4 linked regions of the Mus musculus genome follow. The protein of the gene in region 3 purifies or fractionates together with the protein of the main gene of each other region. This does not show direct contact. Links are inferred from orthologs where the notes say so. Each region holds a gene or a part of one and is shown on either strand. Other genes may lie near its edges. The genes, in order: Gnl2, Gtpbp4, Lyar and Mybbp1a.

The links.
Region 1: the proteins of Lyar (region 3) and Gnl2 purify together in Homo sapiens (affinity purification with mass spectrometry; 3 studies listed by BioGRID and IntAct, with this or other methods). This does not show direct contact. The link is inferred for Mus musculus from reciprocal best matches to the Homo sapiens genes LYAR and GNL2.
Region 2: the proteins of Lyar (region 3) and Gtpbp4 purify together in Homo sapiens (co-immunoprecipitation; 3 studies listed by BioGRID and IntAct, with this or other methods). This does not show direct contact. The link is inferred for Mus musculus from reciprocal best matches to the Homo sapiens genes LYAR and GTPBP4.
Region 4: the proteins of Lyar (region 3) and Mybbp1a purify together in Homo sapiens (affinity purification with mass spectrometry; 3 studies listed by BioGRID and IntAct, with this or other methods). This does not show direct contact. The link is inferred for Mus musculus from reciprocal best matches to the Homo sapiens genes LYAR and MYBBP1A.

The regions. Positions count from the first base shown.
Region 1 is NC_000070.6:125,042,104-125,049,057, forward strand, and holds part of Gnl2 (nucleolar GTP-binding protein 2), read left to right. Parts: intron 1-510; coding exon 511-577; exon of another isoform or gene 578-783; coding exon of another isoform or gene 784-786; intron 787-1,461; coding exon 1,462-1,620; intron 1,621-2,120; coding exon 2,121-2,234; intron 2,235-2,396; exon of another isoform or gene 2,397-2,497; intron 2,498-4,142; coding exon 4,143-4,271; intron 4,272-5,399; coding exon 5,400-5,504; intron 5,505-6,243; coding exon 6,244-6,402; intron 6,403-6,576; coding exon 6,577-6,690; intron 6,691-6,954. UniProt on the Homo sapiens protein: GTPase that associates with pre-60S ribosomal subunits in the nucleolus and is required for their nuclear export and maturation.
Region 2 is NC_000079.6:8,990,985-8,998,525, reverse strand, and holds the start of Gtpbp4 (nucleolar GTP-binding protein 1), read left to right. Parts: upstream 1-2,513; 5' UTR 2,514-2,529; coding exon 2,530-2,577; intron 2,578-5,710; coding exon 5,711-5,881; intron 5,882-6,490; coding exon 6,491-6,594; intron 6,595-6,674; coding exon 6,675-6,811; intron 6,812-7,541. UniProt on the Homo sapiens protein: Involved in the biogenesis of the 60S ribosomal subunit. Acts as a TP53 repressor, preventing TP53 stabilization and cell cycle arrest.
Region 3 is NC_000071.6:38,218,015-38,225,556, forward strand, and holds the start of Lyar (cell growth-regulating nucleolar protein), read left to right. Parts: upstream 1-2,467; 5' UTR 2,468-2,621; exon of another isoform or gene 2,622-2,775; intron 2,776-4,916; exon of another isoform or gene 4,917-5,040; intron 5,041-5,119; exon of another isoform or gene 5,120-5,217; intron 5,218-6,612; 5' UTR 6,613-6,661; coding exon 6,662-6,783; intron 6,784-7,542. UniProt on the Homo sapiens protein: Plays a role in the maintenance of the appropriate processing of 47S/45S pre-rRNA to 32S/30S pre-rRNAs and their subsequent processing to produce 18S and 28S rRNAs. Also acts at the level of transcription regulation.
Region 4 is NC_000077.6:72,438,469-72,445,923, reverse strand, and holds the start of Mybbp1a (myb-binding protein 1A), read right to left. Parts: upstream 4,598-7,455; 5' UTR 4,541-4,597; coding exon 4,349-4,540; intron 4,247-4,348; coding exon 4,151-4,246; intron 3,525-4,150; coding exon 3,441-3,524; intron 3,355-3,440; coding exon 3,280-3,354; intron 3,179-3,279; coding exon 3,071-3,178; intron 2,449-3,070; coding exon 2,273-2,448; intron 2,184-2,272; coding exon 2,016-2,183; intron 1,922-2,015; coding exon 1,804-1,921; intron 1,243-1,803; coding exon 947-1,242; intron 749-946; coding exon 638-748; intron 317-637; coding exon 191-316; intron 31-190; coding exon 1-30. UniProt on the Homo sapiens protein: May activate or repress transcription via interactions with sequence specific DNA-binding proteins. Repression may be mediated at least in part by histone deacetylase activity (HDAC activity).

The sequences.
Region 1 (6,954 bases), on a different chromosome or scaffold from region 3:
GTGTCCTTCCCTTTAAGTCCCTCCATTGTGCACTTGCACCACATCAGCTTGATCTGCTGTCGGAGCTTTGCTTCAGTGACTTTGCAGAGTCACCTGCATATCCTTCCCTTTGTTATACTTTGGGGTTTTTATGTTTTGGGGTTTTTATGTTTTCGTTTTTTTTGTTTTGGTTTTTTGTTTTTTGAGACAGGGTTGCTCTGTGTAGCCCTGGCTGTCCTGGAACTCACTCTGTAGACCAGGCTGGCCTCGAACTCAGAAATCCACCTACCTCTGCCTCCCGAGTGCCGGGATTAAAGACGTGTGCCACCACGCCTGGCTGTTTTCGTTTTTGAGACAGAGTCTTATTGTGTAGTCCTTTTTGGCCTGGAACTTAACTGTGTAGACCAGGCTGCTAAGTCACAGAGCTCTGTCTACCAGCTCTTGAGCTGAGGTTACAGGTGTGAACTACTACCATTGCCTTTTCTTCTTGATAGTGCTTCAGTTGCTCATTTCTGCTCCTTTCTCACTTAGAAATGAAGCTCAAGAAGAGATATATAAAAAAGGGCAGTCAAAAAGAATATGGGGAGAACTCTACAAGGTAAGGATCGTGGCTCTCACTGAGGAGCAGGCACAGTGGCTGCCCGATTGAAGGCCTTGGATGAAGTAATGCTTTACTGCTTCCCTCATCCTCTTTTCCTCCGTGAAGGAGCTGTGATGTGCACTCTAGTGCTGTGCTGGAAAGGAAGAGCACTTGTGTTCTGTTGCCTGTCAGTCCTGTACACTGCCCCTTAGGATGTACCCCGCATGGTTAGTGCTGCCTAAGAAGGTGTAAGTTACTGCCAGTGCATGCCTTTAATGCAGCACTCAGGAGACAGAGACAGGCAGATCTCTGTGACTTGCAGGACAGTCAGGGCTATAACACAGAGAAGCCTGTCTCAAAAACCCAAAGGGAGGTGCGGGGGGATTGTAAGTAGTTACTTAGCCTCACTATCTCGGTCTGGGAAGGGTTAATACCTTAGCCAGCCTGCCTAACTCTGTGGGGAAGGAAAGAAAGGCTTTGTGTGTACTCCTGAGTGCTGACCCAGTGCTTTTGAACTGACTGTCTGGGGGCTGTGGGGGGGTGGTAATATAAAAAGCTCCAGGCACTCCATGTAATTAACCATAATAGGAAACTAAGACCATAAGGGAAAACTAGGCAAATTTAATTTTCTGTAAAATAACACAAACCCATACACAATACCTGGTACTTGTGAATCAGATGGGCTTGATCTAAGCCAGCTTTCCTATTTGAAATTTGACAAGTTTTGAAAATTCTTGACCAGCTTTTGAATTCTGATGAGTGGACATTGAGAGTGGCTGCTGTTTACTCCCCTTGCAGACTGTTTGCTTCCAAACACGGTTTTGTCCCTCTGGGCTCCCATAAATGTCCCCTTTATTTTGTGTGCACTGCAGCCAACTGTTCCTGCCTCTTTGGATTTGCAGGTGATAGACTCATCAGATGTTGTCGTTCAAGTCCTTGACGCTAGAGATCCGATGGGCACTCGTTCCCCCCACATCGAAGCTTACTTGAAAAAGGAAAAACCCTGGAAACATCTCATTTTTGTACTCAATAAGTGTGACCTTGTTCCAACTTGGGCAACCGTAAGTTCAGCTCGTGACCCTAAACCCACTGTGGAGGCCAGTAGGGCAAGCCATTCACTAGCACATCAGTACATAGATTCTAAACAGCAGGCCATCGAAGTGTCACACTCTGGGGGTTGCCCTTACTGTCCTTACTGACAGAGAGCTAGCACATGCACTGGCGCTGGGCAGAGCCACCTTCCGTCTCCTGGCGGGGGCAGCTGCAGGCTTTTGTGTCCCCCCAGTGGAGGCAGTTGCCAGTCACTGACTACGTCCCCATTGTGTTCCATTAATTGCATTTAGTAGTTAAGTTAGTTTTTGGAATATTGTTTTGTAGTCAGTTGTTAAACAAAAGACAAAGCACTAACTGTCATACTTGAAAAAGCATCTCAAAGAATTATAGCTGCTGTTTCCCTTAGGCAACGCTGTATTTGAAGCCATCCAGTAATTCCAACTCTGATTCTTCTGAATATTGTAAACAAACAGCTATAATTTACCAGCGTGTTTTCTCCTCCCCTTAGAAACGATGGGTTGCTGTGCTCTCCCAGGACTACCCAACACTGGCTTTCCATGCGAGCCTCACCAATCCCTTTGGGAAGGGAGCATTCATTCAGCTTCTGCGGCAGTTTGGGAAGGTAGGGAGGCTGCTGCTGCTAGCTTGGGCTGGCGTGTGTGTCCCAAGTTGTTAACATTGGGTCAGTACCTTGGAGGTAGAGGCAGGAGGACCAAAAGTTTAAGCCAGAATGGGCTACATAATGAAATCTCGTCTCACAACAACTGTTTTGTTCACTTCTCAGTGTTTTCTAGAGGTATAAAAAACCCGCAGGCGCTCTGGATCAGGAAGGGTCTGAAGCATTTTCTCATCACATGACCTGTTCTGCCATATCACTAGCACCAGGTAGTTCTTTCAGCCTTTGTCACAGGGTAGCTGCCCAGCCCATCACTTCAGGGACATTCTGAACGTCCCAGAGCCTTCTCTCCTGCCTGGCTCTAACAAAGTCATGCTTCCCGTCACACCCTTCCTCATTTCCCAGAAGTAGTACTTTTGACTCTTGGCCATCACGTCTGTTATTTCAATACTGTGTGCTGTTGGTACATACTGATGATTTATTTCTTGATTCCCCCAACTCTTTCCCGTATTTTTACATACTTATTAAATGTTTCCTGCTTTAAAATTTTAGGGTTAGTTTGGGGGGGATTCTATTTTTTTTCTCCTTTTTTTTTTTAAAGTTAGACATTGAACCCAAAGCCTTAAACATGCTTTTAAGCACTTGTCAGTACTAAGCTATGACTTAGTGCGTGTGGCTCTCACACACGCTCCCCCTCTTCCCCTCTTGAGCTCACTGTTTTATGGAAAAGGGTTTCATTTTGAGGTGTTTTGAGAACAGATGGAACTGTGATGCAGGGTAGCTCCATAGTCACTGTGTAGTGACTTTGCAGCAGCCATCCTGCCTCAGGCTCCTGTAGCCTCCTGATGCTGGGTGCGGTGAGGTTGCTTGTGTCCATCTTCCTCACATACATCTCTCACTCACTCTGCTTCTCAGGCCAAGTGTCATTTGGCGTTCACAGTCTTCTGACGGAGGTGCCGTTGAGAGCAGTGTACTCAGGTGCTCTCATGCTCCTCTCTGGTACAGGGGTTTGTTTCTGCTTCACGTCATTTGCTTTGTCATTTATTTGTATGTTTAACATTTGGGCAGACAGATGGTAGAGAAGCTGGGCAAGCAAGTAGTCTACTTTTCAGCCAGCCCTCTCTAGTAGGAACTGTCTGCTCTCAGTCTGTGGTCTGCCTTCAAGTACTAAGCCAAAAGCTTCCAGTCTCAGCTACTCAGAGACAAGACTCCTCTCTCCCAAATCACTTTAGCTCAGGAGATTGAAACTGCCCTGTGCAACAGAGAACTGGTATCAAATTGAAAGCAAAAGTACCCACAACTCTGATAGACTCTTGGTGTCTTTTTGGTGTGGGGACTGCTAGCAGTGGTGGATCTCACTGAAGCGGGTAGTGTTAATTAGGGACACAGGCATTTTCTTTGGGTTTGTCGTTGTCTCCAGAAGAGACTCTTCCAGTTTCTAGATTTAGCTCTGGGAGCACTTGGGGAGCAGGGTCTAGAGGAATGGTCTCACTGCCTTGTGTTTAGACTTGGTTGGGACTTGAACACTTGCCTTTTGCTGTGCTCCAGCCATGTTCAGACACACATGTCTCCAGTGGGCATCTCTTAGGCTCCTTCCCTAAAGATGTCTCTACTGTGGCTGGTGATACACTGTGATGAGGAGATGGACAAGCTGTCTCCTCCTGATCTACATCCTGTTAACCTAGAGCAAAGATGCTTTACGTGGGTGCCTGAGGTCACGGCTCACTCCTGACATGAAAATACACTGTATCTCCTGGGCTGTGAGGCAGGCTTGTGTTGAGGATGCGTTAAATGCTCTTTGCTATAGAAGTCCTTCCATTAGCCAAATAACACAGTGTGACCGACCTAAGGGAGCTAACTATGGCCGAGTATATATGATAGATATTCTTTTCTTTACTTTTTTTTTTTTCACAGTTGCACACAGACAAGAAACAAATCAGTGTTGGGTTCATTGGCTATCCAAATGTAGGCAAGAGCTCTGTGATTAATACATTACGATCCAAGAAAGTTTGCAACGTGGCCCCCATTGCTGGAGAAACAAAGGTATGTATGGGTTCTACTCTGTTTTATTTCTATGAAGACTTGACTGTTTAAGATATGGAGATCTCCCCTCTCTTCTTCCCTTCCTCCTGTCCCCTTCCTTTCTTTAACAGTACTGGGGATCAAACCCAGGCCACACACATGCTAGGCAAGTGTTCTGCAGTGGACATGGCCCCTGTCCTGCCCCCTCTCAGGATCGGTGCACCCTGTTGGCTAATGCTGGGGTGTGATTTGGTTATGGCCTACATTTAATTCCTTTGTAAATTGCCCTTGTACTCTTTTTTTTTTTTTTTAAAGATTATTCATTTTTATTTTACATGTATAATTGTTTGGCCTGCATATATGTTCACTGTGTATGTATCTCTTGCTAACTGAGGTCAGAAACAGACACTAGATCACCTAGAACCAGAAATATTGACCGTTGTGAGCTGCCACGTGGATGCTGGGAACTGAACCTGGGTCCTCTACAAGAACAGCAAGTGCTCTAAACCACAGAACCAACCCCCCGTATCTCTTAACTCCAACCTTTTGCTTTAATAAAACCAACCCAAGAATATTTGGTGTCTGGGTTAAGAAGGAAAGAAAACATGCTGGGTGTGGCTTTAATCCCAGTACTCGGGAGGCAGAGGCAGGCAGATTCTGAATTCGAGGCCAGCCTGGTCTACAAAGTGAGTTCCAGGACAGCCAGGGCTACACAGAGAAACACTGTCTAGAACCGCCCCCCCCCCCCAAAAAAAAAGAAGGAAAGACACCCGGCGAAAACGTGGTCTTTAGATAGCTTCTATTATTTAGAAGCAGCAGCCATAACAGAGTTTTGGGAACAGCGTTGTTCTGCCTTGTGACAAAGAAGCTAGCGTCTCTGTGTTTCTGAATGTTTTCAAGACGTGAAGAGGTTCACTGTGGTGGCTTTGCACAAGACCAACTAGAAATCCTGCCTCTGCCTTATTCTTGGACTCTCAGTGATGGAACTCTAGTATGTCCTTGGTGGAAGTTGTCATACTTAAGTAAAGGATAGGCTCTGGCCTGATTATTCAGCAGGTTGCTTTATAGCTTAATATGACAATGTCACAGATCAGTGAAGTTTAGCTCCCAGTATTTGACTTTGACAAACTTAGGATTTTCTGTCTGCAGGTCTGGCAGTATATTACCTTGATGCGTCGTATATTCCTGATTGACTGCCCTGGTGTGGTTTACCCATCTGAGGACTCAGAGACCGACATTGTGCTCAAAGGAGTGGTGGGTATTTGTCCTCAACAATTCTGTTTTCGTTTGTGGGGATCCCTAAGAGCCTTTGCCATTCCTTGTTGAGAAGGCAGCCTGGGGTCAGCCTGTCTAAGCAGATGCAGAAATATGATGCTGAACAGAGCAGCCTCCTTTCCACTCAGCCTACCTCAGGAGGTTGAGGGGCTGTGGGCATATCTGGTCAGTGTCATCCCACAGTAGTGTGCAGTTACCACATGGTATCCGAAGGGAAGCAGGGCTTGTTTATGCTTAGTGATAATTCATCTCATGGGTTTATGGATTGAGTCATCTTGGAACCCAGTCATTTCCTCCCTTGTTTCTGAATATGACTGAAAACTTAAATGATTCCCCCTAACCATAACCATGCTTCTAGCATAAGTTCTCTGCACATTCCTCCCGTCCTTCTGAAATTCTTGGATTGCTTTTTGTGTTCTGGGTTCTGGGAGTAGCAGGCATCTTAACCGTTCCTGCCAGTGAGTGACACAGAGCATTCCAAGTTCAAACTGCCTGTGGAGGCCGCACACAGTCTGTGGTAAAGCAGGATTAGAGTTGAGCTCTGGGCTCCCTGGCTGCGGTCAGCTTTCAGGGGTGTTCCTTGCTCCTGCCAAACTATCACAGACACAGCAAAGTCCTAGTCACCTCGTGATAAAGAAATCCATTTCACTTTATACAAATCACTGAGTTTTCCTGTCTATGCAAAAGAATTGAACACAGCATTTCTATTATTCTCTAGGTTCAAGTTGAGAAAATTAAAGCTCCTCAAGACCACATTGGTGCTGTCCTTGAACGAGCAAAGCCAGAGTATATCAGCAAGACGTACAAGATTGAGTCCTGGGAGAACGCGGAGGACTTTCTTGAGAAGCTAGCTCTCCGCACTGGGAAGTTACTGAAGGTGAGCCAGCGTCTTGGGGATTGGCACTGGGATACACGGACCTGCCATTGTGAGAGCGGTGGGAACTGTGTCAGCTGGATGGTGAGGAGCAGAGTGACTAAAGTGGCCCTCCCTCATCCAGAAGAGCTTTTGCTCTGGGGTTTAACTGGGAAGGAACCTGTCCTGTCTTTTTAGGGTGGAGAGCCTGACATGCTGACTGTGAGCAAGATGGTTCTCAATGACTGGCAGAGAGGCCGAATCCCTTTCTTTGTCAAGCCGCCCAATGCAGAGCTACCGACCGATTCCCAGGTAAGAAGAGGGTGAGCACAGGTCCTGGAAAATGGGCTCAAGTGACCCCAGTGTGGTGTAACTCAAGGTTGTTTCCTTCGTGGAATGTCTTCATTTTTGGTACGTGTGTGTCATCCATTATATAGACTTGCTGAAGAGCATTAGAGACAAATGAGCAGAGTAAGACAGAACTGTGAGAGTAGGTACCAGCTGTGGGGCAAGGAGGAGGAGAAGAAATTAATATTTGTTAAATTTCTGTCTTCTGTGGGAGCAGAGGTGTTGCCA
Region 2 (7,541 bases), on a different chromosome or scaffold from region 3:
ACAATGACTTAGAAGCAGTATGTCAAAGCAGGTTTTGTAGGAGCCAAGCCACATGTTCAAGGCTTTTTATATAATTCTTATATATCTTATATAATTTTATATAATTTCTACATATAACAAAATTGTATAGTTTTGTTTCCTCACCAAATATTATAAGGTTTTTGTAGGAGCTAAGTGAGTTAATTTGGGGTCAACTGCTTTGAACACTGCTTGAGCTATAGTCAGCCCTATTTAAGGTTTAACACCATATGGGATTCTTGAGTTACCTGAGAGTGAAAATTTTATCAATTGTCCAAGTGCTTCATCCTTATCCACTTCCTCCTATTTGAGCTGGGCTCCAAGGACTGAGTCTCCTTGGTGAATACCTGGATTCTGCTAACCCACTGTGTGGGACCACATACAGCTCTTTTGCCTTATTCCATAATTTTCCTTCTCTGCTCCTGTTCCTGGGATTCATCATCAGTAGGGCCACTCTTCTTATGACCTCACCTCTGCCCCTGAGGCCTCATCTACTAACTTTGTTTCAAGGTCTTTAGTCTTGGTCAACCTTGCTCTTGACTCTGTTCAGTTTTGTTCAGTACCCTAGTGGGGAGTCAGAATGTGAGGCTGTCCTTTCCTTTCCTTTTTTTTTTTTTTTTTTTTTTTTTTTGGTTTTTTGAGACAGGGTTTCTCTGTGTAGCCCTGGCTGTCCTGGAACTCACTTTGTAGACCAGGCTGGTCTCGAACTCAGAAATTCACCTGCCTCTGCCTCCCGAGTGCTGGGATTAAAGTCGTGCGCCACCACGCCTGGCCTTTTTTTTTTTTTTAAGATTTATTTATTTTATGTATGTGAGTACACTGTATATGTACAGATGGTTGTGAGCCTTCATGTGGTTGTTGGGAATTGAATTTTTAGGACCTATGCTTGCTCCAGTCCACCCTGCTTGCTCCGATCAATTCAGTTCACTCAGTTTTTTTTTTTTTTTTTTTTCCTTTTTGCTTTTTCTGAGACAGGGTTTCTCTGTGTAGCCCTGGCTGTTCTGGAACTCACTCTGTAGACCAGGCTGGCCTCAAACTCAGAAATCCAGCTGTGTCTGCCTCCCAAGTGCTTGAATTAAAGGCATGCGCCACCACTGCCGAGCCTCACTCAGTTCTTGCTTACTCCAGCCCAAAGATTTATTTATTATTATACATAAGTACACTGTAGCTGACTTCAAACGCACCAGAAGAGGGTGTCAGATCTCATTATGGGTGGTTGTGAGCCTCTATGTGGTTGCTGAGATTTGAACTCAGGAACTTCAGAAGAGCAGTTAGTGCTCTTACCCGCTGAGCCATCTCACCAGCCCGAGACTGTCCTTTCCAACAGCACAGAGAGATGCATTTAGTCAGAAAAGCAGAAAGTAAATGCTCTTGGGAAATACCCAATTTAACATATCTGGAGTCTGATTGAAAATGTCTGATTGTAATTAAAAAAGACACCAGGCTGAAAGCAACTTGTATTATCAAAGTAGTCCACACTGGGGCTGTGAAGGAGAAAGGAGAAAGGAGACTTTGAGGAGAGGAAGAACCTTGAGGATTATCTAGTTAGGGAGAGACTCAGGAAGGTAAATTAGCAAAGAAGACTGCATTCTAGACATCAAGTACCAGAATGATGGATGTCACAGAAAAATAGGGAGAAAGGTTTGAAGAAGATGGCAACACCTGAGAAAGGGTCTTTTAGTTAAAAGATAATCATGAGGCAAGAGTAGATGGATTAAGGTAAAGAAATGGGTGGCTTAATTAAACTGACAGGGAAAACGCAAGTGGGAAGGTTGGCTTCAATCCATGTAGGTCTGTACGGATCAGACTTTGTGTCTATGTCTGGTGCCTGGGTTCTGGGCAGCTGTGTGGGGGGCAGAGTTTTTTCACTGGCCCATGTCAGGTGAAGGTCAGGTGAAGGTGGAGCACCCACAAACCACCTCGAGACTGCAAGGTCAGGAGAGGAAACTCGGGCCACCTGGAAGTATGCAGTCTACTCCATTAACAGAAGCCCCGTCAACATAATTTACTCGAATAAATAACTTTCCACACTGCCAGGCGACAGACAGCCTTTCTTGCTCAAGGGACACCAAAGTGATGCAGAAGCCCCGCGCTGCGTCTTCCCGCTCGTCACTCGCTCTGGCCGCGGCGTCCCCAGAGGTGGCTGGAAACACCCTTTGGAGCCCCGAAGCCGGCTTGGGTGAGGGCAGTGTTTCCTGAGAGCCCCGCCAAGGTGGCCAGCCGGGAGTCTCCCTTTCACCCCGCAAGGTTATCTCTCCCACCTCTAAACCCAGCAGATCTCTACCGCGGCTCTTGGCGGCGGACTTCCCGGCCGAGCGGGGACGCTGTGGGACTAGAAGCCTGTCTAGGCGGACGCGTGGGCCACGCCTCGCGGACATTCAGGAAATGATGTAACGCTTGAGTCCGGCAGCCAAAGTTGTGTCACGCCGGATAGCGGAAGTCCCGCCCACCTCCGCCGGCGGAAGTCCGGTCCTCCGCTTCTCCTGGTTCCTCGTGCGTTCCACCGCCGGCATGGCGCATTACAACTTCAAGAAGATTACGGTGGTGCCGTCTGCCAAGGTAGGGGTGACAGAGGTCGTTTCCGCCTATCTCCATTTCCCCGACAAGTCGCCAGGGAGGGTCCAGGCCTGTATCCCCGAGACTGGGGGAGGGAGGACACCGTGCAGTCCCTCGGCCCTCAGTGCGGAGCTCCGCTTGCTAGGCTTTGTCCTCGCGACCCTCGGAGATCAGTCCCACTCTCTGAAACCAAGCCCCTCTCCTGCTGTCCTTGGGTACCCTAAGCCCTAGAATCCCTCCAAGACATCAGGGCCGTTCCAGAGCCTATGATTCTTGTGTGGCCTGCCGACGGGACAAAGTGTCTGGGTGGTGGCCACAGTAAGGAGCAGGGTAGGAAGCCTGAAGGGGCCAGTGGTGAGCGTCGTGTGAGTACCCTCCCCTTTAAGTAGAATTTGATTCGTGACGTCACGGTCTAAAAAGATTTTAGGTAGCTGTCATTTTGTCGTTGGACTTAAAAGATGCAATTGGTTATAAGCACGCAAGTAGCCAGGCCCACATTATGTAACGTAGCAAGATGCTTTCCTCCCAAATGTCGAGAATGAGGTAGGCTAAAGAACCTAAAAGGATACACCGGTTTCTCTGGCAAGCCATGGGCATTAAATTGCAGAATCAGTTAGAGGAACCAGTGTCACTATCGTTAAATTGACCGCAGTGTGGGTGTTTTCGACATCCCCCTTTCTGAATGAGCTTGCTTTGAAAACTTGTGTAAAGAACTAGTATTTTCTGGTGGGCGTGGTAGTGCACGCCTTTAGTCTCAGCACTAGGGAGGCAAAGGTAGGCGGATCTCTGAAAGACCCTGTCTTGAAAAGACAAAAACCATGTTTCCACTAGTTGTTTTCCTTACACGTCTCTGTATTTCTCCTTTCTTCCTCTTTCTGATATCCATTCTGATACGTTTTTCACACGTTTGTAATAATTGGAAAGAAACTACATGTAGGAATCACATTTTGTTTTAGCCCACGAGACTGTCGCCACTACTTCTCAAGTGCATGTTGAAGGAACTCGTACACTTTTTATTTCACTGGAAATAGAGTTCATTGGGTCAAAGGAACTTTGTTGATATAATTGACCTAGGAAAGGCAGCCTTTGTCTCTGTTGCCCTGAAGGAGGTCTGTTTGCAGATGAGTTTGCATGTGTGTAGATAGGTGGTGGGAAATAAAAAGTCAATCTGAAGAGTATGGGGTGCTTTTGTAAAGTGTGTGCCAAGTTCTGTGTATAGAAACACATAGAATAGTCTGCGTCTTTAAGAATCATATTCTGGGGGCTGGCGAGATGGCTCAGTGGTTTAGGAGCGCCGACTGCTCTTCCGAAGGTCTCGAGTTCAAATCCCAGCAACCACGTTACGTCTGTAATGAAATCTGATGCCCTTTTCTGGAGTATCTGAGGACAGCTACAATGTACTTATATATAATAAATAAATAAGTAAATAAATCTTAAAAAAAAAGGATTTTCTGAAGGAATAACTGAATGTGTTTATACCCACCGCAGTATGATGGAGAAGTGTGAGCTCCAATTGGCCCTCTGTATGAGTTCAAATCCAGAGTCAACCAACACAGATTAAAAACACTATTTGAAAATTGCATCTATATTTAATGTACATAGACTTTATTTTCTCTTTTTTGTTTGTTTGCTTTCTTTTTGTCTGCCTTGGCTGGCCTGGAACTTATACATTTCTGCCTCTAGGATTAGGATTAAAGGCGTGAGCCACCATGCACATAGACTTTTTAAAGGAGCATTCCCTACATATAGTTACAGCTATTTACCGTATATGACAAATATATGTGGATTCTTCTACACACAAGTACTGTGCCATTTTATAAAGTGAACTCAAATATCTCTCTGTTTTGGTGGGCGAGGGCTTGGGTGGGAGGAACCCTGACTATAAACTCCTGTAAATATCAGAGATTTGGGATAACATAAGAATGTAGTGAGAACTGGGCAGTCGGTGTTAGTGCATGCCTTTAATCCCACTACTGAGGAGGCAAAGGCAGGAGATCTCTGTGAGTTTGAGGCTAGCCTGGTGTACAGAGCAAATTCCAGGACAATCAAAGCTACACACAGAGAAACCCTGATTAGAAAAATAAAAACAAAGAATATACTAATAAATGGGTGAGTTTGGAGAAACTTTTCAGTAGGCAACTTTTAAAAGATATGAGGACCATGGAAAGGAACAGAGTAGAAGAGCAGCAGGCCTGAGTATCCATGCTCTCCGTAATCTGGCAGACTGTATTGTGATTACCTGCTTGCCTTTGGTTTTGTTTCGTTGGATCTTAGTGTCTTCTTCACTGTTTTGTCTTCAGCATTGTGTTCATTCTATCCTTTATTATAGAAAATGATCAATATTGTTCAATTAATGGAAGTGATCAAGGGAAAGTAGAACAGCTTTCTATGGTTGGGTAAAAGTGAATAAGTACAAATATCTCAAATAGTCTACTCAGCATACCCAGGAAATTTTAGATGATGAGTTTTAGATTTTTCATTTTATACCCCTTTAAAATCAAAGCTACAAAATCCTTGAAATTGAAGAGCTGGCTCTTTTTCTTCTGATTTATTCTTGAGTTTATTTGAAAGTTAAAATAGCATTAAAAAACATGGGGTAAAATATATTTCAGCAACCATTAGCAAGTCCTCTCTTCTACCCCAGGCATATTTTTATTGGAAGAGTGACAAGGAAGGGGCCTCCTCCATCAGTTGGAAGTATTCACAAGTTTTTCAGCCATTCCAAACTCAGGTCCTGGCGTGGTTGGACACATGGAGCATGCTCCCATTATCAGGGGCAGGGGCTGGGTCTTTGTGAGGCATGGCCTAGTTGATCTTGGTGTCATACTTGGTGTAGGGGCTGAGCGATTGAGGGCATAAATAATGCAAGGCTCTGACACTTAGAGACACTACCAGCACTGTCCCTTTTGGTCAGGCATTCTTGAGGAGGGTTGAGATTCTCCCAACTATCTTAGTCTTGGTGGTGGGTAGCAAGTTTTCATAAAGGCCAGAAACTATAAAGATGAGCCAAGTTGTATACAAAACAGTTGATTTTTGAAAAAGTAAATTTTGTAGTTTAAACCATGTACTACTGGGTTAATGCTTTAAGAAAGTTATAAGCAAATGTTTGAATTTTAATTATTCTCTTTAATCATAGGACTTTATTGACCTAACATTATCCAAGACTCAACGAAAGACTCCAACGGTTATTCATAAACATTATCAAATTCATCGGATTCGACATTTTTATATGAGAAAAGTCAAATTTACTCAACAGAATTACCATGACAGACTGTCACAGATTCTGTCGGATTTCCCCAAATTGGATGTAAGTGACAAGTATGGTTATAACATAGAAGACTACAGAGAGCCATATTAGCCAGATGGATGTATTTGTTAGAGACGAAATGAAATAACTGATGTGTCAGTTACTTCTCTTCCTGTGAACTTAGCAGAGTGGTTTAGAGAGCCCAGGCCCCCTCTCCAAGCTCCACCCCCTCGGGCAGGCGGCGTGCAACCTAGTGTCTGGGGAGAACTGGTCCTAAGTGGTTCTGTCACTGTAGTAGGATTGAGGTTAGTGTGACTACCAGTGACTGCTTGTTTCCTTAGGGGTGGCTTGATGGCTTGACAGGGTCTTTGGCCAGGACACGGGGTCTGGGGATCAGAGCTGCAGGTTTGAAGAGGGGAAAGGGAGCTGCTTCTCCGGTGGCTCTTTTCTTCTTTTCTTTTTTTCTTTTTTTGGTTTTTCGAGACAGGGTTTCTCTGTATAGCCCTGGCTGTCCTGGAACTCACTTTGTAGACCAGGCTGGCCTCGAACTCAGAAATCCGCCTGCCTTGCCTCCCAAGTGCTGGGATTAAAGGTGTGCGCCACCACCGCCCGGCTTCTCTAGTGTTTCTTACACGGAGTGACGTTGTACATTTCATTTTTTCATTATAGGATATCCATCCGTTTTATGCTGACTTGATGAATATTCTCTATGACAAGGATCACTACAAGTTGGCTCTAGGTCAAATAAATATTGCCAAAAACTTGGTGGACAAGTAAGGCATTTTCTTACTATATATCTTATAAGTTATTACCAAAAAATACAAACCCTTAGATTACTTTCTCTTTTTCTAAGTGTTGCTAAAGATTATGTGCGTCTTATGAAATATGGTGATTCTCTGTACCGATGCAAGCAGCTGAAGCGCGCGGCCCTTGGACGAATGTGTACTATTATCAAGAGACAGAGGCAGAGCTTGGAGTATCTGGAACAAGGTAGTTGTCATACAGTAAAAAAAAGTTTCACTGTGCTCTTTCATGTTTGGGACTTTTTTTTTAGTTTTCATTTTTTGGAAGTTTAGTTAGATGCATGTTTTTAATATTTAGTAAGTAAAACATAAATCTGAAAACACTTTTATTTAGTAGGAAATTTCAGAGTTAGAGCTGGTAATTGGACCTTGTGCTAACCCCTAAGCCCTACAAATATTTTGTTGGGCATTGTGCTCTTTCCCCTGAAAGTGTTTGCTACAGATCTGTGGGGTTCTCATGATAGCTTAGTGGCACATGCTAGAGCTGTGCTGGTGTTTCAGGTGAGACAACTAAGTGGACATACTTAGATCACAGCATGCATACTTGAAAATACACTGTGGACCAATTATCCGTTCGTAATCATCCTTCCCAAACATGGTTCTTAGTCTCAATTTGACTTAAAGCAACTGAGATGTAGGTTGGTAGATAAGTACATGATTCTTGGTGTAGCCATATTTGGAAAATACTCTTGTGTTGTGTGTTCATGTATATGTTGTCAGTTTCCTTACATCCCTCATTTTCTCCATCACTTTTGCAATTACAAAAGTGTGGTCCAGCTACTCGTGAAGCTAAGGTAGGAGGATTACAAGTTCAAGACCTGCCTGAGAAAGATCGAATGCACAGTTTGTTGTAGTGAGACTTTGTCTCAAAGGAAAAATGTGTTGGGGATACAGCTCAGTGATGCAGCACGTTCCTA
Region 3 (7,542 bases):
AATGAGGCGCTTAGCTGCTTTCCTGGAATGCTGGGAAATGAGGTTTGCAACCTGGTGATCCTTGGCTACCTGTTGAGCAGGCCCTGCCCATACCTTCCAGACTTGATGGTTAACTTCTGCCAGACCCTTTCCCCTTAAAGCCTTGAGCATTACTTGTAGGCCATAGAGCTCATCTTTGTGAGAGATGTCATTTGTACAAAAACAACAGCCTAGTGACTTCTAGGTCATCTTAGGGCCAGGCCAATCCTGACTCCTACAGACATTATGTTTACCTCATTATGTTTCAATCTCCCTAGATCCTAGACACTGGGCACTATTTCTAAATTAACAGTACCCATTCTTGTGAAAGAAGCCAGATATACTTTGTAAAGAATCTCAATGTAAACATGTCTTAAAATTGTTGTGCACTTGGGATTGATGTAACTGTTATCAGAACCCCCCCACCCCCAAATTGTGCTGTGCATAAATATGAGTAAAGTAAAATGATCTGGGTCAGACGCTGGAAGTCCTGGCCTGGCCCAGCTCTGGTTACAAAACTGAGCTGATCGGATTTTATTCTTACCGCACTGTGACTGTTTCCCCCTACTTGCTGTAACTCCTGTGGGGACCCTCCCACACTAAATTATAGTTTGGATATGAAGTATTTCCAAAAAGATGATAAGAGTTCAAGACTTAGTCCTCAGTGCAGGAGGAGAGTTCAAATGCGAGGCTCACAAGGGCGTGATTTTCCTCACTAGGATGAACCACTGACAAGTTCACAGCTGACTGAACTATTAGGGGGCTCAGCCTAGCCGGCAAACGCAACCGTCTTTACATGGTAAAGACATGGCTCACATCTCCTTCGCTGATTGCTATAGCTCTGACACCTGCAAGTGTCTGGCGCCTCACAGGTGCTCAGCATGTAGTTTGAGAATAGAGCGACCCTGTGGAACTAGAGAACTGTACGGTTCCTTCTAGTTCTGTAAGCTAAAATTGAAACCAAGAATATGATAGCAGAAAGATCACTGTGAAAGACATCAAACAATGCAAATACCATGGTGAGAAAGGCAAGGAGAAGTGGGGGGTGGGGAAAAGCTTGGATGAGGTAAATGAAGGGAAGAGGAGCCCACACCAGAATTTTAACCAAAAGGCTCCCACGGCAGAGTTTGGTGGGGTAATTCTGTCAGGCAGTTAACACTGGTGGATGATTTGTGGGAGGTTTGCCCTGAAGCTGTTTATATCAAGCTTTACAGGGGTCCTTAGGCGTTGTTAACTACTGTGCCTATCTTTATGCCTTTTTCTGAATGTATGTGCAGATATATGTGCATGTTTTGTGTAGACAAGGGTGCATATGTGTGGAGGCCAGAAGCCAGCCTCAGGCATTGTTCCTCAGGAGTCGTCCACCTTGTTTTTTTTTGAGAAAGGGTCTCTTACTGAGGTGTGAGGCTCACTGATTTCAGGAATCCACCTATCGCCACCTCCCCAGTGCTGGTGTTACAAGGGCATACCACCTAATGGGCTCTTTATGCATTCCGTTGCGTTCTCCAGAACCTCAGAATTTGAATACCTGTAGCAATTACACCCTTAAGAAGGCAACTGTATTTTAAAAATTAAAAAGAGCCTCTTCGGATGGGTTCTGTGGCAGAAATGCCTGAGCTGCGATGGCACAGAGGGAAGACTGTGTGGGGATACAGCAAGAGTGACCACCAGTAAGCCAGGACAGTCCTCTAAAGCAAGCAAACCCGATGACACCACATTCATGGCCCGCCGTCCTCTAGAAGTGTGAGAAACTAAAGCTCTCTCATCTGAACCACCTCATCTGTTGTCCCTTGCTTTAGGAGCCACAGCAAACAGGAGACGTCTCTGTCACCAACAAACGCCCACGCCTGGGTTGAGGTTTCTCACAATACTGTTCATAGCCTGCTGGACGTTCATTCAGTCATTTAAGCAACAGTGCCCACTAACGTATACCAGATGCTGTCTTTCCCACAGAGGCGCGCCCAGCACCTGCCGTGGTCCCGAGGAGTAGGCGCTGCAGTAATAGCATCCTACAGATGGAACACCATGGCACCTAGGATCACGCGGTGAGTGAGGCAGGGGGCGGCTTAGGGGCCCGGGGAAATAAGCGCCTCTCCTATCTCGGGGCGACGCAGACACCAAGAGCGGCGCAGACCGCAGCAAGGGTGACTGCAGGAAGGAGGAGGCCCGGCTCCGGTGCCCGGAGCTTAGCTTTGTGCTCCGCCGAGCCCCATCACACAGCGCTGCGAGTAAGCCGCGCGCACCCTACCCGCGCCAACCCACGGGAGTCGAGTGTCCCGGGCCGCCTTACCCGCGGAGGCCGCTCTCGCCCGGCCGCCTCCCTGACACCCTTTCTCGTCGCACTCTCGGTGTCAACTGCAGGACTCCAACCGCCTCGGAACCATTCCGACAACGCCCCCTCGGCAGCTCATCGGCAACTTCCGCCGCCGTCACTTCCGTCTGGGAGGGGCGTGGCCTCTGCGCGCACGCGCGTTGGCGCGCGCCGCCGGGATTGAGTTCTGCGCGGGGTGGCTGGGCGAGCCGGTGGCGGTGCTACGCTGGGTGGCTGCCGCTCCACGTGCTCCCGGCGGCCGGTTGAGACCGTTGGCGGGGTCGGCTGACAGGTGAGAACTGCTTGGAGCCCCGGGACATGGAGGAAGGGCGATGGTGGCATGGCTGCCTTCCTTGAGGACTCGCTCGCGGGCAAAACCTAGCCTTTTGAGTTCCTGGAGATATTGCATCCCGGTTTTTAGTCCGGCACTCGGGGCCGGCCAGATGGTACGGTTAGTCCTCAGCGCACAGGGCTTATAGACCTGCTGGCTGATGGGGAGAGGGCTTTTCTCTGAGGCTCGAGAACTAGGTCCGGAGGAAGGACCTTATGGCTCCTGGAGCTCAGAGGACCAAAGACCTAAGTGCCCGCGAACCCCCAAATATCGATCTAGATACAAGCTACTTAACCTAGTGGTGCCCAGCTCCACGTCTGTCCAAAAGGGATACCAGAGAATCTAATTTAGGGTGTGTGTGAAGTTTACAGGGGTAAAAGGCTTGGCGTATAGTGGTTGCTCAGCATGTGTCAGGATTTTTCCTGCAGCAGCTACCTCCTAGGAGATAGAGGTAAGAGAGATGATAGGGGTCTATGTGCCCGAAAGCCTAGCTTCTGCCCAGCGAAGCCCAGGGATATGAAGCCTGCTCAAATTGTGTCAAGAGTTTAGTGTCTACCGTAGTGCCTAACACCTGCAAGTTATTCATATGAAGCTGTGGTGAGGAGACTTGAACTGCCTCTACCGAAGCAGGGGCATGGCTTGGATTCTTTGAGCTTCAGTGGAAACATGTGGCCCACTCATAGTCTTCCCCTGGGGTCCCAAGAGGGTGGAGATATGTGCTGTTTTTTTATCTTTTAGTGTACCTGTGATTTCTAGGAATTCTGGAAGGAGCTTGTGCCTAGTTATAGTGGGCCGACTCCCTATTTCAGAGATGGGGAGAAATTGAAGTTTAAAGGGAGCAGTTGCCTGCCTGGCCTTTAAGATGGCCTGGTTTTAGGGCAAATATTGTCTCTGTGTGTACATGAGTTAAACAAGTGATAGTCCAGTCTGTAAAGTGCTTGACACACAAGCATGAGGACATGAATTTCCATGCCCAGAACCCAGGTTAAAAAGCAAGATGTGGTGACAGAACCCTGTGGCTCTCTATCCAGCTCGCTTAATAAACTCCCAGTGAGAGAGAGAGAGAGAGAGAGAGAGAGAGAGAGAGACAAGGTAGGGGGCTGGAGGCATGGCTCAGGGATTAAGAGTATTTGCTGTTCTTCCAGGGGACCTGAGTTCAGTTCTCAGCACCCAGAATCTAAGAGATCTATATTAGTCGGGGTTCTCTAGAATCACAGAACTTGTGGGATATCTACATATTAGGGGAATTTATTGTAATGACTTTTATAGTCTATAATCCAACTAACCTAACAATGTTAGCTATGAATGGGAAGCCCAAGAATCTAGAAGTTTCTCGGTCCCACAAGGCTGGGTGTTTTAGGTGGTCTTCTGTATATGCTGGAATCCTGAAGAAGTAGGTTCCAAGAGATGTGCTGGCAAGTAAGTGCAAGCAGGAGAAGAAGAGTGAGTCTTCCTTCTTCCAGTGTCCTTATGTGGGCCTCCAGCAGACGGAGTGCCCCAGATTAAAGGTGTGTACCACCGTGCCTGGATTTGGAACTTGCTCTGTCTGTCCCAGACTGGCCTTGAACTCAGAGATCTGCTTGCCTCAGTCTTCCTGGGTTTAAAGGTGTGCTACCTTGCCTGGGCCACTGTGCCTCAAGATGTCCATGTCAAAATCCAGGTCAGAAGCCTGTTTCTTCTGGATCATAGGTGTGCCCTCCATTTCTGTATTGTAGTTCATTCCAGATGTAGTCAAGTTGACAACCAGGACTAATCATCACAAGATCTGACGCTGCCTTCTGACCTCTAGGAGTATGGGCACACACTTAGAGGCTCAACGCTTATAATAAAATAAGTCTTTAGAAAAGGGAAGGTGGGCAACTCCTGAATTAGACCTCTGGCCTCCCCAAGTTGCTCTTGGTTTTAGTGTTTAATGGGAACCTAACAGGGCATTGCTGTCTTCGCTTAGCCCAGGATTCTGTCTCGTAGTCTGTGGCCTTTACACTTCTGATGCTCATAAGCCTGGCCTGAGACTTGAACCTCGCTGCATGGCCAGTTGTGCTGGCTTTCTGGTTCTGAGCCTTGCTGTCCTTTGTAGTATGTACTGCATACTTCTCATAAATGAACAGTGTTCTCTCCGAGCTGGAGATGCTGCACAGCCAAGGTGACCCTGGGCTTTCTCCCTCCCTCCCCCCATCTGAATAATCTCCTTACAAATCTTATCTCATTAGCCCTGCAGGTGGACACACTGATTCTCGTTTCTTGTCCAATAAATAGGTAGAAAACCAGTTGAGCATGACTCCAGAGTGGTGATCAGTTGAACATATGACCTGATTCCAGCCTTCTCCTGAGTTGGTGTTCACACTGTGCCATGGGGAGCTGTTTTTCATAGTTGCTGCAGGCATGTCTTTTGCCATATCGCTTTGTTGATTGCTGTATCTTGTTTCTTGGGCTTTAATTCTGGTCTTTCCCAACGACAGACCCGTGGATTCCCAAGGTTTACTCAAGCCTGCCCTCTCCTCTCAAGCTTGACCAGAAACAGCAGTCGTCAGCCGCAGAGGTTGAAAGCTCTAAGTTAGTAGGTGTTTTCTTCATTGTCCTCCTTGCAGAAGCGATTCCTGATTTTTCAGTGGATCCTTTAGCTAATCACAGCAACTGTTCCCTGTGCTATGATGGCAGTCCGTTTCTTGATATCCAATTAGCTGACTTTTTTCTTGTTCTTACGTAAATGTATAAGGATGTCCAGACTAGGTGGCAGTAGGCTCTTGTTCTTGCTTGTGCGGTGGAACTGCTGCCCTTGCTGCCTAGCATTTATTTACCTCCATCCGCCTTGTGCAAAATGATAGTAAATATTTTAGAAGCCAGGCTGTGGTAAACATTAAGCATGGTTCCAGATCCAGAAGTGTGACACATGTCTTTAAAAAACAGGCTAGACAACAGTACTTGGATAGCCTAGAGTGGTCCTATCTACCCCAGTTTGCCTTTGGTGCCAGGCTGTAGCTGCCCACATGCCTGCCCTTGCTAATCAGCTCTGTTCACAAGCTGAGGAGGAGGGCACAGGACATCAGTGTCGAGGACCTGTGATTTGTATCTAAGGTGAACCAGTTGTGCCCTAAAGGACAGGAGGCCTTTGTACACAAGGATGGACATTTCCATTCAGGACTCAATGGAAGAAAACCATCCTGCTCTTGCTTTGGTTTGGCGTGACCTCACTGGCTTGTGTCAGAGGGGCGATGGTGATTTATGCTTGAAATCACTGTAAACAAAGTGCAGCCCGTTGGTGCTGAGTTCTTACATGAAGTAGAGAAGCAAGTCCTATGTGTTTACTTAATCCTCAACCTTCATTTCATACTGAGGAAAAGAGTTCTGCGCTAAGTGGCTGTATTTGGGCTGAATGAAGCCCATTTTATAAGAACAGGACTGCTCTCTTAGAGTCTGATGACTAGAAGGCTATGTAAGCATGGAAAGTTACCATGATATTCGTAACACTTTAGGAATCTGATAGAGTATGGTAGCATGCATGCAGTGTGTGTGTGTTGGGGGGGGGTGCCTGTGCAGATGCCCTCCATGCTGGGTGCACTTGGTGAGGCTGGCACACCTGGGTATGGAGCTCCTGCGATGGGTTCCTTTTCTTCCTCCCTGACATGCATGAGCCCTAATGAAACATGTTTGTTGGACCTTGTCCACTGAGGCCAAGGGGCTGTCTTTCACCTGTGACCCATTGTGCATGTAGGAATCGTTTCTACAAGGCCATGACATCATTTCCCAAGTAAGTTGTTGTGAGGGCTTAGTTGGTTAGTGCCAGTACATATTCCTGTTTCACGCTGAGAACTTGGCTGGTTTTTCTGCCATTGATAGAAGTATGTTACTTCTCGGAGATCACTGGTAAACTTTGAGCTTGCCCTTTTGTTGTGAAATTCACTTATTGGGAGGAGTTTAGGCTTATTATAATCATCTTTATCTTCTTTTTTAGGGCAAGAGTTCAAACCTATATCAGAAAATTTCTAATTATTTAACCAAAAATGGTATTTTTTACATGCAATGCATGTGGTGAATCCGTGAAGAAAATACAAGTGGAAAAGCATGTGTCTAACTGCAGAAACTGTGAATGTCTTTCCTGCATTGACTGTGGGAAAGATTTCTGGTAAGTTCTGATAATTCCTGAAGATCTGGGTATAGAAATCCAGACCCCACAAAGCTTAGGGGAATACTGGAGCAAAATGAAGGCAGACACTGAGTAGGTTGAAAATAATTTAAATCCAGCCAGGTGATGGTGGCTCACACCTTTAATCCCAGCCCTTGGGAGGCAGAGGCAGGCAGATTTCTGAGTTTGAGGACAGCCTGGTCTATAGAGTGAGTTCCAGGACAGCCAGGGCTATACAGAGAAACCCTGTCTCGAAAAAAACAAAATAAATAAATAAATAAATCCGCTTTTCTTTCCCAGCTCTGACTCCCAGATTTGTGACTCAGAGACTAATTATTTATTATTAAATGCCTAGGCCATAAGCTTTGGCTCACTCCCAGACTAGCTGATAACTTATTTAACCCATTCAAACTATTCCGTGTCTATCATTTGGTTAGTTACCTCTCCTTCAGGAAACCTTATGGTTTGTTGACAAAGCTTGGTGTGATTCTTCTCGGAGTACCCTTTAGTTTTAAGGACTTGTTAAAGAGAAGACCAAAGGGACAGTATCCTATTGGTTAGAGAATTGTGGGCTAGCAAGGTGGCACAGTGGGTTTTAAAGCCCGTGCCCTACTAACTTGACCACCTAAGTTCCATCCTCAGGACCCAAGGTGGAAGAGAGCTGAGTCCCCAAATTGTTCTCTCACTTCTGTGTGTACTCTGTGGCACTTAGAACACACACACTTTTGAGGGCCTGTAGCAGAAGGGAATAAGGTTCAG
Region 4 (7,455 bases), on a different chromosome or scaffold from region 3:
CTGAACTTCACACTGAGCGTCTGCAGTAGGCTGGGTAAGAGGGAGGGAGGTTTCACAAGACAGCATTAGCACACCCAACCCCTCCAACTACCCTGGGGTTCAGCCCCCTGCCCCAATCCCAGGCCTGCTGACCTTGTTCACAGTTCAGAAAAAAACAAGTGTCCTCATCTCCTGGGTAGCCCAGACCTACCTGAAGAAGGCACTGACAAAGACCCCACGGTTGCGGTCGTCCAAAGGGAAGGAGAAGTGCTGCTTCGTCTCTGGGATCTGGGGCGTAGCCTTCTTCGTCTTAAAGAAGGCATGGAACAAGCAAAACCTGCGAGCAAATCAGCAGCGGCATGGGGAGACGCCCTTCACTGGACCATGCAAGGGCCACTTCTCTAGTTTGACCCTCTGAACATAAGCAGGCCACCTGAGATCAAGTGGAGGAGCCAGAGCTGCTTGCTACAGAACCCATAGATTGAGTCTGAACCTTTGCTTTCCCTCATCTCTTTCCTCCATAGGAAGCATACCCAGTAGATACCCTATTGCATGCCAGCAACGTAACCTGAAGGCTTCTGGCTCCACGGGAACCAAACAAGGACCAGGCAAGGGACCTAGTTTCGTAGTCATGCCACCCACAGTGTCCCTCACACACCTGGCTATTTGCTCAACCACAGCTTCATCCTTCTCCAGATGCAAATGATCCACAAGGCTGACCAGGCGGTGGATGATCCACTTCCGGAGCCGGAATACAGCTCGCTCAGGCCTGGAAGCAGAGGCCATGTAAGTGACCTCAGAAACAGGGTACCCCTTTGCCCCGGGATCACCCGCACCCTGCCCCGACCTCTTGTCAGGAGAAACAAGGGCACAACCAAGGGCTAACTTTCCTCCTCTCCTGCCTCTAGTTTGAAGCCATGGCACTCAGGCTTTGAGCTCCTCAGAGCTCCTGACACGTGCCACTCACACATTCAACGAGGCGTCCTGAGCTCTCTTCTGGTTGGCAGTGCTGAAGTCAACCAAGGAGTTCAGGTCAGGCTGCAGGAACATGTCCCGCAACCAGGCCACATAGCTCTGCAGGGCTTCAGCATTCAAAAACCGCGTGACACGCCAGAAGGTAGGCATGACAGGGAGACCTTGATTGGTGATGGTTGTAAAGGCCACCATCATAGTCAACTGCCGCTTAGGGTCATCCTGGCACCCCTCTAGGAAGGTACCCACGTATGTACTTATCTCTGGGATGATCTTAAATAGGTTTTGGGGCTGCAAGAGATGAGCATGAGTTTGGGTTATCAGAGTGAAGAGGCAGGCAACCACCTTTGTCTATAGAGACTAAACCCAGGACTTCGCCACTCCAGTCACACAGCAGGGCTGAACCTAACTTTGCCACAACTCCATCAAGGTCTATCCTTGATTCCTTAGTTCATCCCCAGCACAAGAAGGTTCCAATTCTCCCTCAAAGATTGCGGACAAGATTGACTGGCATGAAGGGAACCTAAGCTCAAGTCGTGATAGACCAGTACCTACCCGTGCCATCCTGTGGCTCAAAACCCAAGTGCTTTCTGTATAGCCCCCCACCCCCATCACTGTCTTACAGGTGCTAGGCACAAAATGCAGAACACACTGGGGTCAATAACCACTCCCCTCAATGTGACCCCCCCAGCAGTGTTCCAAATAGATGGCTGGCTGGGCCTGCTGGTAAGTGGGCCCCAGGACAAAAGGGCCTGATTACTGGCCAAGTCCTCCCCTACCAGATCTTCAGAGGAAGAACCCCTGCCCTGGCCCTGCAGGCAGCACTGAACCACATGGGAAGACGACACCTACCTTAGAAATAACCATGTTCTCCCCAAAATGGCGGATCAAGTCTCCTCGCATCACCAACTGCAACTGCTCCTCTGACAGAAGCGGCAGAGACGCACCCAGTAGGCGGAAGCACATGTAGCTAAGGAGAGTTGGGGCAGAGCCTGGTCAGAGGCCCTGTACTTGATCAGGTCCCACCCAGGCTGGAGGAGAGGGAAGACCAGTGTCACACACACCTGGATGTCCAGGACGGATTCTTCAGCAGCCCCTCCTCCAAAACCTTCTTCCAGAACAGTTCGAATCTGCTCTCCTTGAGCGCCAGGCGGAGCAGGTCCAGAGCCACATTAGGCAGCTTGTGCTCCTTCTTGACAGAGTTGGCGGCCACCTTCAGGATGTTCACCAGACTAGAAGGCAGAGGAGATTCAGTAAACGTTACCCGGAGGACTACAGTGCAGGACACCCCCGTGAGAACCCACTCACAATCTCCTCAAACCTGGGAATATTGTCTTCTGAGAACAGGTCAACCGAGCCCATGAGTGACTCGAGCTTTGTCGGCACCCTCTGCTTAGCCAGGAGGAAGAGCTCCAAGTACTTGGGAGAGCGGAGGATCACTTTCATGTTACCCTTGAGGACCTTTGGCAGGATCTCCTGGAACATGGACTCTGGGACCTGGAGTGGGGGCACAGGTGGAAAGGGTGGGTCTTGTTCTACCCATGGGCTTCGGATACACCACTAGTCAGTCAACTTGCCAAGCAGCAGACCCCAGCACTGTATTGATGACTAACTGGCCTGGGGTCTATATTCAAAACTATACCTCTTTTTGTTTTGTAAGAGGGCTAGCCGGTGTCATATACACAGAGCCCTATGTGGGGAGCTGCAACTTAAATTCTGGTCTGTCTCCATTTGTGCCAAAAGGACAAATCAGGGACAAGACAGTGGCAAATGACTCTAGATACAAACAGACCCAGGCTTGACCAAACCAACTATGGCAAATGTACTCAGATTGCCTTCTACATACTCAGGCATTGACAAGCACTGTTCCAGACCCACACTAGCCACACAAAGGCCACCAGAGAGGGTTATGGAGTATCTGAACTGCCTAACTGAGTGGACATGTGCTGAGACCCTGAAAGACAAGGCAGATTTAAGATAGTTGGTGAGAGAGGAATAACAAACAAACAAACAACCTCCTCATACCAGTTGCATGGTCAAACCATCTGTCCTCATCATGTTCCTACCCAAATCTTTTCAACGTTTCCCAAATCAGACGGCATGACTTGTGATTCTCTACCTCAGAGAGGATGTCCACCAGAGCCTTTATTGGCTGTCCCTGTAAGTGGTTGGGGTGTTGGGACAGGATCTTCAGCAATTGCACGGACTTCATCAGGGCCTCTTTGTCCTGGTATCCACAGAGAGCAAAAGGTGAAGAGCAGGGTCTGTTACCATCTGTTCCCCTCCAGCCCTAAACCAGTCCCTGCGCCCCGTGCCAAAAGCTCTTACCTTCACTAGGCGGCCTGACTGAAAGAGGGCTAGCACTCCAAAAAGGTTTGCAAAGAGACTAGGTCTCATCATTGCCTAGAAAAAGATTGAAAACACAGGTGAAGAGGGTCCCTCCCCATAGCTGTTCAGGAGCAGGTTGTCTGTCTGGGAATCTCACGCACCTTGTTCATGGCTTGTAGGCTGTATTTTTCTTGTATCTGATCCAGGATGTCACACAATGGGATGTCTTCAAAAGACTGCAACAGCTACCAGGCAAGACCAGAAAGAGCTCAGGAGTGGCCCAGGGACAACAAACCAGACCAAGTCCATTTCCCTCCTTCAGCTTTCCCCAATATAATCTCCGTGCTCCTCCCATCCCTCACAAGCGCTACTGCTTTCAAGGGACCACATCTTACATGGCTAAGCCCCACCTCCATCAAGGCTTCAGAAGGCCTAGGCTGCTTCTGTACCTCTTGGGAAAACCCATCCCATCCAAAGATCCTGTTCTGAGTTGCCTTGAGGCTGGTTAGTCTTCATTGCTTTTTGCTGTACAAATTTCTACGTGGTCTGTCATCAGTTGCCTTCCTAACCTGGAGGCGGCTCCCCAACCTTGCAGAAATCAACCTCAAAGTTCACTACTTCCAGTAACTGTAGCTAATACTCTGTAGCTGATAAACGTGTATCAGAAAGAAAACGTGTTCAACTCTTCCACCTGCCTGGACTTTGCTGTACATAGGCCATGTTTTGGCACTTCCTCCCACCCAAGTAAGGATGCCTGTATCCCCTCTGAAGCATCTCGGATTTCTTCTTACCCCGCAGCTTCGGTGCCCCCTACCCTTAGACGCCACCTTTGCCCAGCGAGATCGTGCCCTTGCCAGACACACAGTCTCACCTGTGCCAGCGCCAGGCTGTAGCAGGGCCTAGCGGCTTCTCGGCCCACCCCAAGCCCAGTGATTAGGCGCTTCAGGGCATATTTCATCTCCGAATCCTACGGAACCAAGAACATCCCTCGTGTTCAACAGTGATCTGAAGGGCCCACCCCTCCCCCTTGCATCCAGAGCCACGATGGGCCTGGGCCCCTCCATCATACATTGGGCCTTGTGCGCAAGTACTCCAACAACTTCTCCGTGGCCCGGAGCCGCGTTTCCTGATCCGGTTTCGCAATGTCCCAGAAGAAGTCCAAGAACTCGCGGCTGTGCTCCAGCAGGCTGTGGCGGTCGCTTTGCGCCGCTTCTGCGGGAGTCGCAGGCTCAGCTTTCGTGGGGCTCTTCATCTCCGCCATGCTGAGCCAAACACGTGGGCTCAGAAGACAGTCACTTCCAGGTCAGGTCTCGGCGCCTGCGCACTGGGACGTCCGAGTGAGGGCGGGGCCTAGCAGGTTGGAAGTGGCTTCCGTACGGCCTTGCCTTTCCCTTGTGGCTGTGGGTGGAGCAGAGTGTTCTCACACGCGCGTGTGCTCAGAAACTGATGCTTCGATCTCTTCCTTTAACCTGGAGGAGTTCCTGACGACCGGAGGTGCAAACAAATCCACGAAAAAGCCGTAGTATGATCTCTTCCCAGACCCGGGTCTGCTCGCGATCTAGTCCGAGACATCCGCTATTATTCCGCTTTTATTGTGTGCATCCGAACAAAGCCGCGGCTTCTGTGGACTTCCTTTCTAGTGGGAAGAGATGGTTGATGAACGAGTAGACAAATACATTTTAAATGATAGTTATGAGGAAAATAAGGAATGTAGGGAGCAGAGGGAGCCTTTTAAATGTTAAAAAACGTGAAAACATCGCCTGTTAAAAATTAAAGGGAGGGGCTGGAGAGATGGCTCATCGGTTAAGAGCTCTGACTACTCTTCCAGAGGTCCTGAGTTCAGTTCCCAGCAACCACATGGTGGCTCACAACCATCTGTAATGGGATCCAATCCACTCTTCTGGTGTGTCTGAAGACAGATACAGTGTATTCATAAAAATAAACAGCCGGGAGGTGGTGGCACACGCCTTTAATCCCAGCACTTGGGAGGCAGAGACAGGCGGATTTCTGAGTTTGAGGCCAGCCTGGTCTACAAAGTGAGTTCCAGGACAGCCAAGACTATACAGAGAAACCCTGTCTCGAAAAACCAAAAAAAAAAAAAAAACAAAAAACAAAAAAAAAAATAAAATAAAATAAACAACATTTTCTTAAAAAAAAAAAATTAAAGGGAAGCCGGGCATGGTGGTGCACACCTTTGATCCCAGCACTTGGGAGGCAGAGGCAGGTGGATTTCTGAGTTCAAGGCCAGCCTGGTCTACAAAGTGAGTTCCAGGGCAGCCAGGGCTACACAGAGAAACCCTGTCTCGAAAAACCAAACCAAACCAAAACAAAACAAAACAAAAAAAACCAAAAAACCCAAAACCACACACACACACAAAAACAAAACCAAAAAAAAAATTAAAGGGAAAATTCTATAGATTCTAAGATTCTATTTAAGAGACCATGACAAGACTGACATGTGAGCTGACAGCTGAGGGACAAGATGGGCTCTATTGTCCCCAGGGCAAAAATCTAAGAGCAGGCCAAGGACATTTCTTCTACAGAGGCCACTCATCTCTTACGGGAATGAGGTCAGTAAGGTGAGGAGGAGGACTCAGGTGCCAGGAGCAAGGTTATATAGAACCCAGGGCCAGGCTCAAGGGTTCAGAATTTCTTCAGAGAGTGCAGGGAGGATTTACATCTGATTTACAGTTTTAAAAGGTCAACTGTTAGCTGAGAGCAGCCACAGCCCGTGGCTGTGAGTACCGAGGCAGTGAATTATGCTGGAGTAAGGCCTTGGCTAACCTATGGCAAATGTCAACGTAGGCGATGACCTGGGCCAAAGGAGATGATTTGCTAGAAAGGACACCAGGCTAAAAGCTAAAATCGTTGAATAGATGGTGGAATCATTGCGCCTAGCAATGTTTTGTCTGAGAGAGAAGTGGAGATGGTACAATTAAGAGCTCTGCTAGCTTGGGTTTGGGGATATGGTATGGAAATAGAACACCAGCCAAGCACATCAGTGCTCTAAATTTGATCCCCAAGCCAACAAAACAAAACAATTAGCTGACTGTGTTGGTGATCCTGTAATCCCAGTGCCTGGGCCAGACTGGATTACACAGGGAGACTCTGCCTTAAAAAACAAAATTATAGAGACAAGGGATATGGCGTGTTAGTGAAAAGCACTTACTAAACCGGGCGCGGTGGTGCACGCCTTTAATCCCAGCACTCGGGAGGCAGAGGCAGGCAGATTTCTGAGTTTGAGGCCAGCCTGGTCTACAGAGTGAGTTCCAGGACAGCCAGGGCTATACCGAGAAACCGTGTCTGGAAAAAAAACAAAACCAAACAAACAAAAAATCACTTACTACTATTGCAGAGGATCAAGGTTCAGTTCCCAGCACCCATATAGCAGCTCACATCTGTAACCCCAGTTACAGGGGAGCCAAAGCCCTCCTCTGACCTCAGACAGAAGAAGCATGTGGGACATGTGCATATATGCAGTTCACACACACACAGAAGATAAAAGCATCTTTTTTTTTTTTTTGAGACAGGGTTTCTCTGTGTAACTCTGGCTGTCCTGGAACTCACTCTGTAGACCAGGCTGGCCTCGAACTCAGAAATCCACCTGCCTCTGCCTCCCAAGTGCTGGGATTAAAGGCTTGTACCACCACTGCCCGTCTAAAAGTATCATTTTAATTAAAAAAAAAAATTAAACCCTCAAACCCTTAAATAAGAATTTCCTTTCTCTTTGTCAGGTAGGGGAAGTGCTACTGGGTGTCCTTGCTCTTGGCCTGAGGAACTATTTCTAAAGGGTTGTATTCAAGAGATCTCAGAGATCAGGAACAACCCAGTTCCAGCCCTTCTGTACCCAGGGGAACCTCCTACTCATTTTCCCAACCCTTCTCTGCTCTGCCATCTGTTCTACACGTGAAACTAAGAGATTTACCTTGTGCAGATGGAACCCCAGAAAGCAGAAGGTGGCTGGAGCAGGGGAAGCCGAAAGAGACAGACCCAGGCTCCTCCCCCTGTGTCTGGCGTTCATCACCTGTGTTGCAAAGGTTAACAGGAAAGTTAGCCAAAGAGCACAGATGTCACTCTGTCCCCGGAAGATTTGAACTTTATTAGCTTCCAGTCCAATTGATAAAGATCAGCAGGGAATGGTCCAGTGGAAGATGGAGCTGCCCACCCTGCCCAAAG